2 linked regions of the Schizosaccharomyces pombe genome follow. Changing the gene in region 1 together with any one later gene gives a genetic interaction. Each region holds a gene or a part of one and is shown on either strand. Other genes may lie near its edges.

Region 1 (5,999 bases):
TTAGTTCTTAATTTAAATTTTGGGTGTGGTTATGTTGCAAACAAATATTAAAGAATAAATCATAAGAATATGACCAGGTTGCTAATCCTGCCAGAATCGGGTTGAATTATTAAGTGAATATGTTAAATAATGAATATATGTTAAAGAGTCGTATTTCGCTCGAAATGTATGATTCGCCTTGAAGAGCTTGATGGACGGTTTGCAGTACTCGTACTTATGTTAAGTATCCTTAGAGTATGTAGTGAACTCGTCAATGCGTTAAAAAGCTATAATTTTTAAAAAGAAAAACGATTAAATTAATAATATTTAACAGAACGGCTTAAAATATACAAGTTCAGAACATTGCACTCCTGCTAACATAAACAAGAGGGGTATACGTGTAAGTTCAAGCTTAATATACTAAATTGCAGGTCTTCGTTACGCAGTATTATTGCGAGAGATGTTTACGCTTCCGTAAGCTACATTAAGTGATCTCAAGTCTTTGACTTGGTACTAGGAGTAGTTAAATCCACTATTAAAATAATATTCAAAATTAAGTGTGAGCATTTCCATTTCTATAAGCATAATTATGCTAAGCTGATTGTAAAAGTGTATATAATCATTTTCGTAATATTGTGGAGTTTTCATACAAAAACTGTCGGGTAAGGCATAACTTCATCATTTTTTCAGTAATGTGAATTGTGAATTAAGATTCTGGATTGGAAGTATTAGAAAACGTTGCTGAACTGTATGATCTTTTAAAAAATTCATTTTTATAACATGTTCATTGAAAATATTAAACCAGAATGCCCCTAAATTGGAAGAAGTATGTATCCTAAATATTGAACATGAACAACACTTATGAAATTGAAAGAAAGCTTGGCTTTTTCATATATTTCATTTACTGTTTAAAACCGAGTAAAACTTGAGTCAAAAGCCTCAGTGATTCAATGGTCAAAGTTGCCCAATATTTAACACTGACTTAATAAAAGTTAGAAATATTAATTTTGTCTGCTATATTTTTTTCGTGTGTTATCCATACTACAATAGTTTGTTAAGGGCTCTAACAATTATGAAAATCTTAAATTACTAATTGATATTGGTAGGAAGCTTGGAGCAATTAAAGAAAATAAAGTTACAATTACCAATCACGTAAAATGATCTGAATTAGTCACTTGATAAAGTTGGGTAGCATCGCTTTGTTCAGTAGCAAGATTGACATCTATGAAGTCTAATGAAATAAAGAGTGAACTTCGAGTGTTCAAAGAGCGTTTTCTGCTAATTAAGAGTTATAGCAATACTGTTCTTTAGTTATTGAAATGCACAGTTAGACACTTTTTTTGAAAGAGCCGGAACGCAAAAAACGAAACACTTTAAGAGTAATATTTCGGAAATGATTACGAAACGAAAACCAACCTCCCTTAGCATACGTTGGTAGTACTAGACGAGGCCAATTAACGTATTGTCTACGATGAAAATATAGGTAGATTCCAGCATTCACCATAGGGATAGAATATAACAGACGACAGAACAGACTTGGATTTCCAAATAATTCTTGTATAGTTAATATTATCGTGGTGAACAAAAAAATTCCAGGTGCCACAAATCTAGTCCAGTGAAAACGCAAAGGCAAGTCCGGAATCGAAAGTGAGTCGTAAGGACGAAATACTCCAAGACCCAAATCATAGCTATCTTGCAGCATACCGTCAAAAAAATTGTTAAGAATATATCTACGAAAGCAGTTTAATAAATCTTTGAAAGCTCCAAAAATGGTTCTCGTTCCATGGCGAGTCACATCGCCTTTTAAGGCCGGGGTACCAGTGTAGAGATCACTGATATAATCTCCAGTATTAGCCCATATTAAGCGAAAATCTTGTAAAAAACTATCATATTCTTCCAAACTCTCAGAGCTAGAAAGTACACCAATATCGTGTAATTGCATGTTTAGAATAAACTGTGCAATGCTAGTCTGAATGACGTTCGTCCGATCTAAGCAATCCATACAATTTGTCCTTACAAAGTTGGTTTGCATTGCAGTAGTTTTAGATCCATGCTCGGCATAATATTTTCCTTCTATCAAGAGACTTTGAATTTCAGCAAGAAACAAAGGGAGATTTCTACTTCCTTGCTTATGATAATCGTAGTAAACATAAGACAAAGGAGGGTTTTTATTTCGTTTACATAATTTTTCAAACCCAGACCGTAGAGGTGCTTCACGTCCTTTTTGGTCTAGAAGATTGACCACCACAAGATTGTCCCCATAATCGTTGGCAAGTTCTTGAAAATGCTTCCCAAACACAGTCTCGCTATAATCAAGAGGTTGTAAAGATAATAAAGGTCGATAATGAAGATCATTAACTTCGGCCCAGAACATGGGGATACTTCCTCGAATTTGAGTAAAAGAAAGAACCATTTGTTCTTCAAGGGTGATGGGTGATTCGATCATTATTATTTGTTCAATTTCATTAAAATTAGCAGCACTTCCTTGTGCGTTTACACCTCTGGTGAAATACCGCGTACCCGCATAGTCAGGAGAATGTCGTGTAATAACACACAGTCTAAGGTTATAAGTCTTTAAAAACGAGTTAGTAATGGCGATATTACCCTGAATCATCGGTTGAATCCATTCTTGAAAGCCTAAATCCTTATTCGTCAATTCAATTAATTCATGAAATGCATATTTATTCCAAAAAAAGCGGTAATTATATTTTGATGTCAGTTCAAAAGATTGGGTTAGTACGCGTAATCTTTGAAGGGAACAGGTTAGATCTAACGTTGGACTAAAAAGTATTTGGCCTTTTGACAAATGTTTATTGAGCAAACTGATATAATGTAGTTCTTCCTCATCTTTAATATTTAGCAGACCCGTGGAGAATGGAAGAGTCCTTGTAATTGGGAAGATAGCAAATTTCCTTGCCCGATAAATATTGTTTCCGAGAATTGCTGCATGCAAATCACAACTTGTAACAAGAACTACATATTTGTATATTTTCAATCGAATAAATCCATATAACTGAACGTTATTATAGTCAGGTGTCTTGCTGAGATCAAGAGAATTGCTCAAACTAAGGCATCCGTCGACTCTATCTATTCGAAGAGAAGCTTTTTTTTTGGAACATGATAGATAAATGCTGTCTGGAAATACTCTAACGTCCTGATTCATTATTTTGTTGTATTTGAGAAGCGTAGATGCTTTTCTGCTATAATGAACCCCGGACTAATGTATTTTCCAAATTAGGTCTCAAAAGTAAAAAATGAGAATGCTATATTTACAAAAATTCAAATCAAACTCTTTAATGTCCATGAAACGATTTTTGAAGGCTTGATTTCCAACGCAGCGCCTGAGTAACGAGTTCATTGTTACCTGAAGGTTTATGCAGCACGTTTTACAAAACGAACTTTCAGTGACAGTGTAATGTATGATATTATTAACAATTCTCATTGCACTATGTAATGATACGTAAAGTATCGCTATTCATTGTACCTTTGCTTTACAAGATAGGTCGTCTGGTGATGCTGATACTCCCCAATTACCTATATTAAGGCTGAACTACAAACTATAATTCGAAGAATAGGCAAACGAAAATCATAATACTGTATGATATTATTGATTTTGAGAGTAGCAAAAATAATTAATAATTCATCGTAGCGTTTTTCAGATATCACAGAAAACATACCATACTCTATCGCATAATCAAAATAGTTTACGAGCCTTCTTTGACTGCAAGTAACATATAGGCAATGTCGCTTTATATTTTGATACATAATTTCTATAAAAGTTAGGTGTTATATGATAACCAACTCTTCGAAAGGAAGCATATGTTTTGCTTTAATTAAGCTTTATTGATATTTTTACCGTTGTTAAATAATATATACTAAAGATCTGACCCAGTTGAATTTGCTATCTATGTTGTATTGCTTTTTACTAATACAACCGAACTGCCAATTTTTACATAAATATTTTATTAAATCGGATTGAGAAGTAAAAATTATAAAATCATACATTTAATAAAATCCTTTTTCAACACAAATAATCTCCATTGTTAATTAATTGCTTTAACCAACAACCTTGTTAAGCCTAATTTTGACCGCAGGAATTAAAAAAAAACACTAAATAAAAACAAGATAATTAAGAAACCAACATCTGCGAAACATAAAACTCGGTGGAAAATAAATATGGTTAAACGACATAGACACAAAAACAATGGTAATGAGAGTAACGTGAGTATTAGTTCGATAAGCATGCATATGTAGCAATAGCAAGTGCTTAACACGTGCTAGCAAATTATGTGAATTGACATGACAAAAAATTCACGTCAATTGATGAATGCGTAAGGATCACCAGAAATCGCGTGAATACACACCAAGACTTGCTTAAGCAGCAATAGGTTGTGCACTAGTGCTAGGCATAGACGTTTCAGCAACGCCTTGAGATCCTACTTCTTCATCATCCTCCTCGCCAATTTCAAAGTTATCAACAACTTGGGTGCTTTGAAGAATGTTTGGTTGAAAACTAGGTTGATAATCTTCTGTACCCATTTGAGAATATCTTTTACTACCTGTAGAGGTGTAAGAGTGTGTAGTGCCGGAAGTAGTTACACCATTCGCATGAGAGTAACGGCGTGGAGGTTCATTGATTACATCTGTGCGAGGAACGACACTAGCTTGAAATTGTGTTTGATAATGACTTTGAGAAGGCAAACCATCAATGTCGGTAAGGGGTTCAGGAGTTTGGAAAGGATTTTGCCAATTAGCCAACTCACGTTCAGCCTCAACAATATAGTCACGGGTTATGTTGTAACCATCGTAAATAGGGCGAGGCTCACCGGGAACAATGGGAGTATCGTCCAGGAGATCGAGGATCTTCTTGGCATACCCGCAAAGAATAGCAACCTTTTCAGAATGCTCAAGTAATGTACCAATATGAAGAGTAAAAGCACGTTTAAAGTTTTCGCGGGTAATGTTAGTTAACTGCGCTTCTGCAACCAAACACGCAGCTTCCTCACGAACTAGTTCCTGTTCCATAGTAATAAGCTTTGGGGACTCAGGATCACGGCTTCTAACATCATAAATGGAGTTAAGTAGCTTTTCTTTCTTAACACGGGTGGGTTGAACGCTAGCCTCAATATCACGGATGGTCTTCAGACTAACACGATATTGATCGTATCTGTCTACCATATGCTCCTCAAGTTCGCCAATTTCATATAAAAGTACACCAAGCTTATCACTGATATCGCTAATATCATCATCGCAATCTTCACCCCAATACGAAAGTTGATTGGCACATTCTTTGCGCTCCATGGCAACGTTTTCATAAGATCGAAGTAAATCCTTTTCCATCTTAACGAGAGCTGCAAGGCGTTTAGCCATTTCGGGAGTAAACATACCCACAGATGGATAACGGAATTGTCTGCCGAGTTTATTAACATTTACTGCACGACGGGTAGTAGAGGGAGGAATTTGATTCTGTTTCGCTTTAGGAGGCGCGCGAAGCGTATGAATAGAGTAAGATGGTTGAGTGCCCATCATCTTGCTAATTACTTGATAAACGATTTAAGACTTTGAAAATATGTATATATAAAAAGAGAAAGGAAATACTAATAAAAAGGTTAGTATGTTAATTAGAGGTAGGTTGAAACAATGTTCATTAAAACATACTTAATCCGCCAACTCACACTAGACAAAGCGAAGTATAAATAAGGTCAGGCTCAAAATGGACTTATTAGACTACACTTTCGAAAGTAACAAAAGAGCTGTAAAGTTCAGGTAGATTTTTAGCGACTTGAACCCATGTTTTAAAGATTTGAGCTAGGCTTGAGACGTCACTATGTCAACATGGAATTTATATGTCGAAAGCATAATGTCATTATTGTCCGTACACTGAATGCGACACCTAAACAATTGAAAATTAATAAGGACTTGTCAATCAGCAAACATATAGATATCTTAATCATTTCCCTCCTCTATGACAATTAGCAATTTCATAAAAATGAACGAACAAAATAGCTTATGATACATTA
Region 2 (6,607 bases), on another chromosome or scaffold:
AACCGTTCGATTCAAAGCAAAGTACAAACAAAGCCACAAAAGGATCTTACTAATAACGAATGCTACAAAAAACTAGACCAACTAACTAAACAAGTAGCAAAGGGATATAAAGAGGTACAGCGAAGTCACTGAAAAGATGAAGATAACGAGATATACAGATGTCATTAAAAGAGTGGTATAACGAAATATAGTGATATCACAAACCCACAGAATTTTAGGGCTGGTAAGAAAAGTAAAGAGAAGAAAAACAAAACAAAAGAATAAAAAAAACAAAAAAACAAACAAAAGGAAAGGCTGATGTGCATATAGTCTCAAAAGTCAATCGAGTTTAGTTTTACTTTTTCATGAGCATCTAGCATTTGCTCTTGTTTTGTGTTCGGCCGTCTGACTGTTTGGATGAGGAAGAAGAAAATTTTGTAGGGCGGCCGTGAAAGAAAAGGAAACAAAGGAAAAATTAAAAGAAAATAAATAAAATCGAATTAAATTAAATTAAATTAAATTAAATTAAACGAAATAAAATAAAATAAAATAATAATAAAAATAAAAATAAAATAAAATTGTAATTGTAATTGTAATTGCATTTGCTTTTGCTTTTGCTCTAGAAATGCTCCAATGTCTTTCCCTCGTACTAGTGTCATTGTCAGGATGCTGGATGGGCGAGATGACAAACGAGGAATAGTGTGTGCAATAAACAGGAGAGAGAAAGGCAAGTGAGAAGCAACAAGAGTTGAATCAAACTGAATTGAATTGAACCAAATTATTATTCTTCTTATAATCAAATTATTATTCCTCTTTAATCAAATCACTATTCCTCTTTAATCAAATCACTATTCCTCTTTAATTAAATTCCCATTCCTCTTGCTTACTGCCGCTCTTTTTTTCCCCCTCCCCTTGTTTAGATTTGGGTTGCTGAAATTTTCTTTTCTTTTTTTCATCCTCCTCCTCCTCCTCCTCCTTACTTTATTTTGTGTTTAACTTTTTTTCCCTTCTTTCCTTCAACTTTAATAAACCCGATCATTCCTTCCGATTGATCCTCTGCCAAATTTCCACCAAACGGTCGGATCCAAATTCAATGGAAAAGGAAGCGACTGGCGGTCGCACGAAGCAATGACCATGGCAGATGGATGAAATGATAACATCAACGGAATTAATTTCCTGACAAATGATGATACAAAGTATTGAATGAAACATGTCAATCATCATTTACTTATCTACATTTCCCACACTCTAGTGAATTTCATACTTTAGCTAATTTCAACACTTTAGCTCTAGCTACTCTTCCACCTCTTTAATTTTTTCTTTAGCTCTCTCCATCTCTCTATCTCTTATAACAATCTCTTTTTTTATACGTTATTCATCTTTAACCTCTCCCTTTCATCCCATCTCAATTCCTCCTTCGACTCTCAATCGCCCCCCATCTACCTTCTTTCGCTCTCCTTCTCCCCAACGAGGTCGCGTTCCTCTTCGCTATTCCCCTCTACTCCCCTCTCTCGCCCCACACACCGCCTGTCTCGCTCACTCAACTCCCTTTCGCCCTCCCCCACGTCATCCCCCCTGCTTGCTAGCGTTTAGCCTTTCGTTCTTCCTCTCAGCGTTTAGCGCGGTGCAACGGATTGTGGAGTCGCTCGCCGGAGGTAACACGTTGTAGCCGAACTAAAAGTGACATCATACTTCGGCACTTGCATGGGTGGGATTCCCGGAGATCGTGTGGATTTGCTAGCTCCTCCATCCAATGCGACTCGGCAGTTGATGTAGAGCGGCCATTCGAGATTACATGGGAGATGCTGTAGTAGACTGCGTGTTTCGTATACATATATTATATACACCTGCCGTGCACCGCAATACTTTTTGCCTTTTCCCATCCACTTTTTTTCATAGTATTGTTGAGAGCCACATTGATTGATTCCTTTTTATCAAGGAATTGAACCTGTTTCTCGTCGTCTTTTTTTTTTTTTTTTAAACTAGCAAATAAAAAAATTCATTGTAAGATTTGAATTATACTAAAAAGCTCTACTTCACTCCCCCGTCAGTCATAGTCCAACAACTTTGACTCAACAAAGCAAAAGCAAAAGCAAATCAAACCATACGATACGATACGAAAAACGAAAGTTTTTTTTGTCCATTGCATTGCTTTGATTCCCTTTGGTCTATCTGCCTTTGATTTCTTTTCTGGGTAAAACAGGAATTGAAAGAATTTTGAGAAAGTAAACGAAAAAATAAAGATTGAATAAAGCATAAAGATCTTATTTCCCATCAAAACATTGTTGTTATTGTTGTGATTTCTTCTGAAAAACAACAAATCAATTTCCAACTTTTCTATTCATTTACGCTTTTTTCCAATTCCCTTAATTTTCCATCCATCCATCCATCCTCATTGAGTCGAATTCTTTCTACTCAATTTGCCATTCGTCCCTTCACCCTTCCTATTCCACTCCCTTCTTTCCGGCTTCTTCCGTTTCGTTATTTGGTGTGATCGGTATCCCGAAAGTGAGTGAGTGAGTGAATTGTGTGATTCTCTTTCCCCCTTGGTATTCTTCCTTCAATCAACATTCTTTCGAATTCCCTTTTTGGGTTGATTTGTTCTTTGTTGTTGTTTTTTTTGTTTTGTTTTGTTTTTACGTACGTTCTATTTTCTATGAATACATAGAATTTCCTGTTTCGTAATCTCAATTCATTTCTCATTTTTCATACTTTATTTGAACCCAAGGTTTTCACACTTTTTCTTTATCTTCTCTTTTTTTTTATTTCCTTTGTGTGCTTTTCTTAAAGCCTCTTTTTTTTCCTCTTTGTGTGTCGTGATCGATCGGATCGTCTCGTCGGCTCACTTTACCTTGAATTTCTCCCTTTGGAAAATATCTACTGATATACCTATAAAAAGGTTCCCCATTCCCAATTAATTCCAGTATTGTTTTTTTTCCCTCTTCCTTATTTCCTTTTTTTTTTGTTCTTGAAATCTCTCATTCCTTTGTCGTTGCGCCAAAGAATTTTCCATAAACAATAACCAATTCGTTGTTGTCAGCGCTCGATTTCCCATCAAAAAAAAGTTATCTTCTTAGGAAATACTTATTTCTTTTCTCTCTTCAACCCTTTTCTTACTTGGAATTTATTTATTTATATATTTATTTATTCATTCTTCCCTTGTCATCCGTTGTTTTAAAAAAAACTCGCTTGACATTTCCTCAATTTCCCATCTCGTCTGACAGTATCTCCGTTACAAACTAATATCTGTCAAAAATCTTTGATTTTTCTCTACTTTCTCTTTGACGTGTTTGTTTATTTCTTGTGTTCCCATTCACTCCGTCTTGAGATTGCCTCTTTGAATCGTACTTTCTTACGCAATTGTTTTGTGTCGTACTTGAAAACTTGTATTGTTAAATAGTTTAACAACTACATTCCTTTGAGTTCATTCAAGTTTCTCTTTTGTATTTTCCTTGTTGTATTCTGAAGTTTTCTGTCTTTTTTCTTCCCTGTTTTTTACCTTTTTACCAAACCTTCCACTTGTTGTTTGGTTCATTGTAAAACACTTTTTTCTCTAATCTTACCGGTGGTTTGCTCTTCAGTGAACTAGAATATTTCTTTTGTTTCTTTATTTTACAATTGCACATGATTGCCGTTACGAACATGTCTGTCACCCCTCCCAATGTACAGTTTAACCTTAATGGGGATAGCGATCATAAATCAGACAATTCCAGTTCCTCACTGGAAAATAAACTTGACACTGAATTAAAAATAACGAGTCCTCCTCGTAACCCTCCTCAGCGTTTGCATCCTGTCGACTTTTCTGAGCACGCTGATACGGACGATGATATGAATCATCCTCTTCCCAGAGTTCAATCCCCCGTCCATATAAAGAATCACATTGACCCTAAACTTGCCGAGGATCGTTATCGTTCATCTGCTGCACGTCACTTCGAACCTATTTCCATTCCCCCTTCCGCTATCACCTCTGAGGATGAAGATGATTATCATGGCTCTGCTAATTCTTCTACCGTCCTTCCCCCTCGTACTGAAAATGCTTTACATGCTGCTAGTCCTAAACCTTCAGGTTCGACTGGTTACACCTCTCCTGCTCTTTCACAAAACAGCGGCAGTGGTGGTGAAGGCGAATCTGATGAAGGCTCTTTTAACACTCAGCATCATCGCTCCCCCATTTTTCAGGCATACCCTTCTTCAGAAGACCTTGTCGGCGATCCCAACGATCCTTATCGACGCACCCGCCGTGCTCCTATTAAGACAAATCCACATGATATCCCTTCACAGTTCATTTTCAGAAAGTTGGGTCTTCATCATGGAAAGCATGGTCATCATGGACACTCTGGTAGTTTATCGTTGAAATCTCTTGTTCCTAATCATCATGACAAGCATGATAAGCATGACAAGCACGAAAAACATCATAGTTCTTTAGATCTTCGTCGCTTTTTCAAATCCCATCAAAAGACAGACAAGGAGAAAAAGCCATCTGTTTCCAAGTCAAAATCTTCCGCTAACCTCCAAGATGATCATTTCGGTCTTTTCAAAAAATACGGAAAATTTGGAAGAATGCTTGGCTCTGGTGCAGGCGGTTCTGTCCGTATTATGAAGCGATCTTCTGATGGTAAAATTTTCGCCGTCAAAGAATTCCGTGCAAGAAGGCCTACTGAAACCGAGCGTGAATATGCCAGAAAGGTTACTGCTGAGTTTTGTATTGGTAGTGCTTTGCACCATACCAATATTATTGAGACCCTTGATATTGTTGAGGAAAATAAAAAATTCTATGAAGTTATGGAATATGCTCCATACGATATGTTTTCCATCGTAATGAGTGGTAAGATGACAATGCCTGAAGTTTATTGTTGTTTCAAACAACTTCTCTCAGGTGTTGCCTATTTACATTCGATGGGTTTGGCGCATCGAGACTTGAAACTCGATAATTTGGTTGTGGATAGTAATTGCTTTGTTAAAATCATTGATTTTGGTAGCGCTGTCGTTTTCAAATACCCCTTTGAAGCCGATATCGTTGAGGCCACTGGTGTTGTCGGTTCGGATCCATACCTTGCACCAGAAACCTTGGTCCGGAAACTATATGATCCTCGTGCAGTGGATATCTGGTCCTCCGCCATTATTTTCTGTTGTATGGCTCTTCGCCGCTTTCCTTGGAAATATCCCAAGCTTTCAGACAATTCTTTCCGTTTGTTTTGTATGAAACAGCCTTCAAATGATGCTGAGTCTCCCAGTGATATACTTGCTGACATAAAAAAACAGCGCTTAGTCGAGCAAGGATGCGAACCTATTAGAAAAACCGATGAATCACATAGTCCAAACTCTAAAACTGATAACTCTTCAACTCATAAACAAGAGTTGTATGGACCCTGGAGACTTTTGCGCCTACTACCAAGAGAAACTCGTGCTGTTATAGCTCATATGTTGGAGTTGGATCCTGTTAAGCGTTACGACATTCACAGGGTCTTTGCAGACAATTGGATTAATGATATTTCGATGTGCCATATGGAAAATGGTAAAGTTATTCATTCTCCAACACATGTCCATAATTTGGTGGCTTCAGAAGAGTCACCTGCTCCACCTGCAAAGCATTAAAAACTTATATTGTCTTTCCCACGTTTGTTTACAAAGTCGCCTTGGATATTGGTGATCTGTTAAACGATACCAAAAAATGAATAATGTGGTGGCTTGTTAATGAGCTAATCTCTTAATCGTTGACGGTGTAACTTAGTTTTCTTTTCAGACTTTTTTTATGTTAAAAAATACTTTATTCTTTGATTATTAGGGACATTTCAATTTCTTACTATAATCTCCTCTATTTAATAGTCAGTCCCTTTTTTATCAGCTCAACTTTATGATTGTTGGTGATTTTTTTTTTCTTTCTTTGGTTATTATATTATTATTATTGTCTTTGTGAGGTTAGCTTGTTTATGAGTTATTTATATGGTAAATAGGGGAAATCTACTGTGGTAGATTAAAAATATCTCTACAATTTTGAAAATAAATGTAAAATTGTCGCATCTTTGAATTTGGTTTTCATTTTTTAGTAAGTTTAGATAATACAATACAATTCATTAGTCTCAAAATTTTCAAAGATCGTGTTTGAATATGATATTTTGTCCTTTTCAACCGTTGTCAAAGTTGTTGCAAATATTGAATATATGCAGTGTTTACTTCAACTGTATAATAATGGTAAAACACGTGTTCAAAAAATAAATGCCTAGGCATCCATGTGCCCTGAAGCAGCTAGTTTTTAAGCACTAGAGACAATTTCTTAAAGAAGTAGAACATATCTCATGCAAAGTTTTCGAAATCAAATTTAAGGAAGACGACATGAATACAACGGAATGTGTGTGCTATGTTCTAGCATCGCTGACAGGACAAATATATTTTAAACAAATATCCTATTTTCTATAGGAAAAGTAAAGAAATGTAAAAAAACAGTTAGATTTGTGTTTTATTAGGAAATACAAAATATTTATAGGATGGGTTCACGAACAAAAGGAAGAGATCCACTTTTTTCTCAAACAATAGATCTTAATGAGGTATATGTGTTATTAACGAAAGGGCTGAACAAGAATAAGGAGGGTTCATCTTGGATTAATTGCCAAATGCATAAATCAAATTA

Evidence for each region. Genes that interact genetically often act in the same process or in processes that back each other up.
Region 2: mutations in sac12 (region 1) and oca2 together harm fitness less than expected from each alone (positive genetic interaction), as found in Schizosaccharomyces pombe (one large-scale study listed by BioGRID).

The regions. Positions count from the first base shown.
Region 1 is NC_003424.3:2,060,500-2,066,498, forward strand, and holds sac12 (inositol polyphosphate phosphatase), read right to left. Parts: upstream 3,284-5,999; 5' UTR 3,143-3,283; coding exon 1,307-3,142; 3' UTR 1,074-1,306; downstream 1-1,073. Other genes in the region: eisosome BAR domain-containing protein Pil2, read right to left, coding at 4,354-5,505.
Region 2 is NC_003421.2:757,868-764,474, reverse strand, and holds oca2 (serine/threonine protein kinase Oca2), read left to right. Parts: upstream 1-1,850; 5' UTR 1,851-3,621; coding exon 3,622-5,574; 3' UTR 5,575-6,107; downstream 6,108-6,607. UniProt on the Schizosaccharomyces pombe protein: Overexpression causes cell cycle arrest.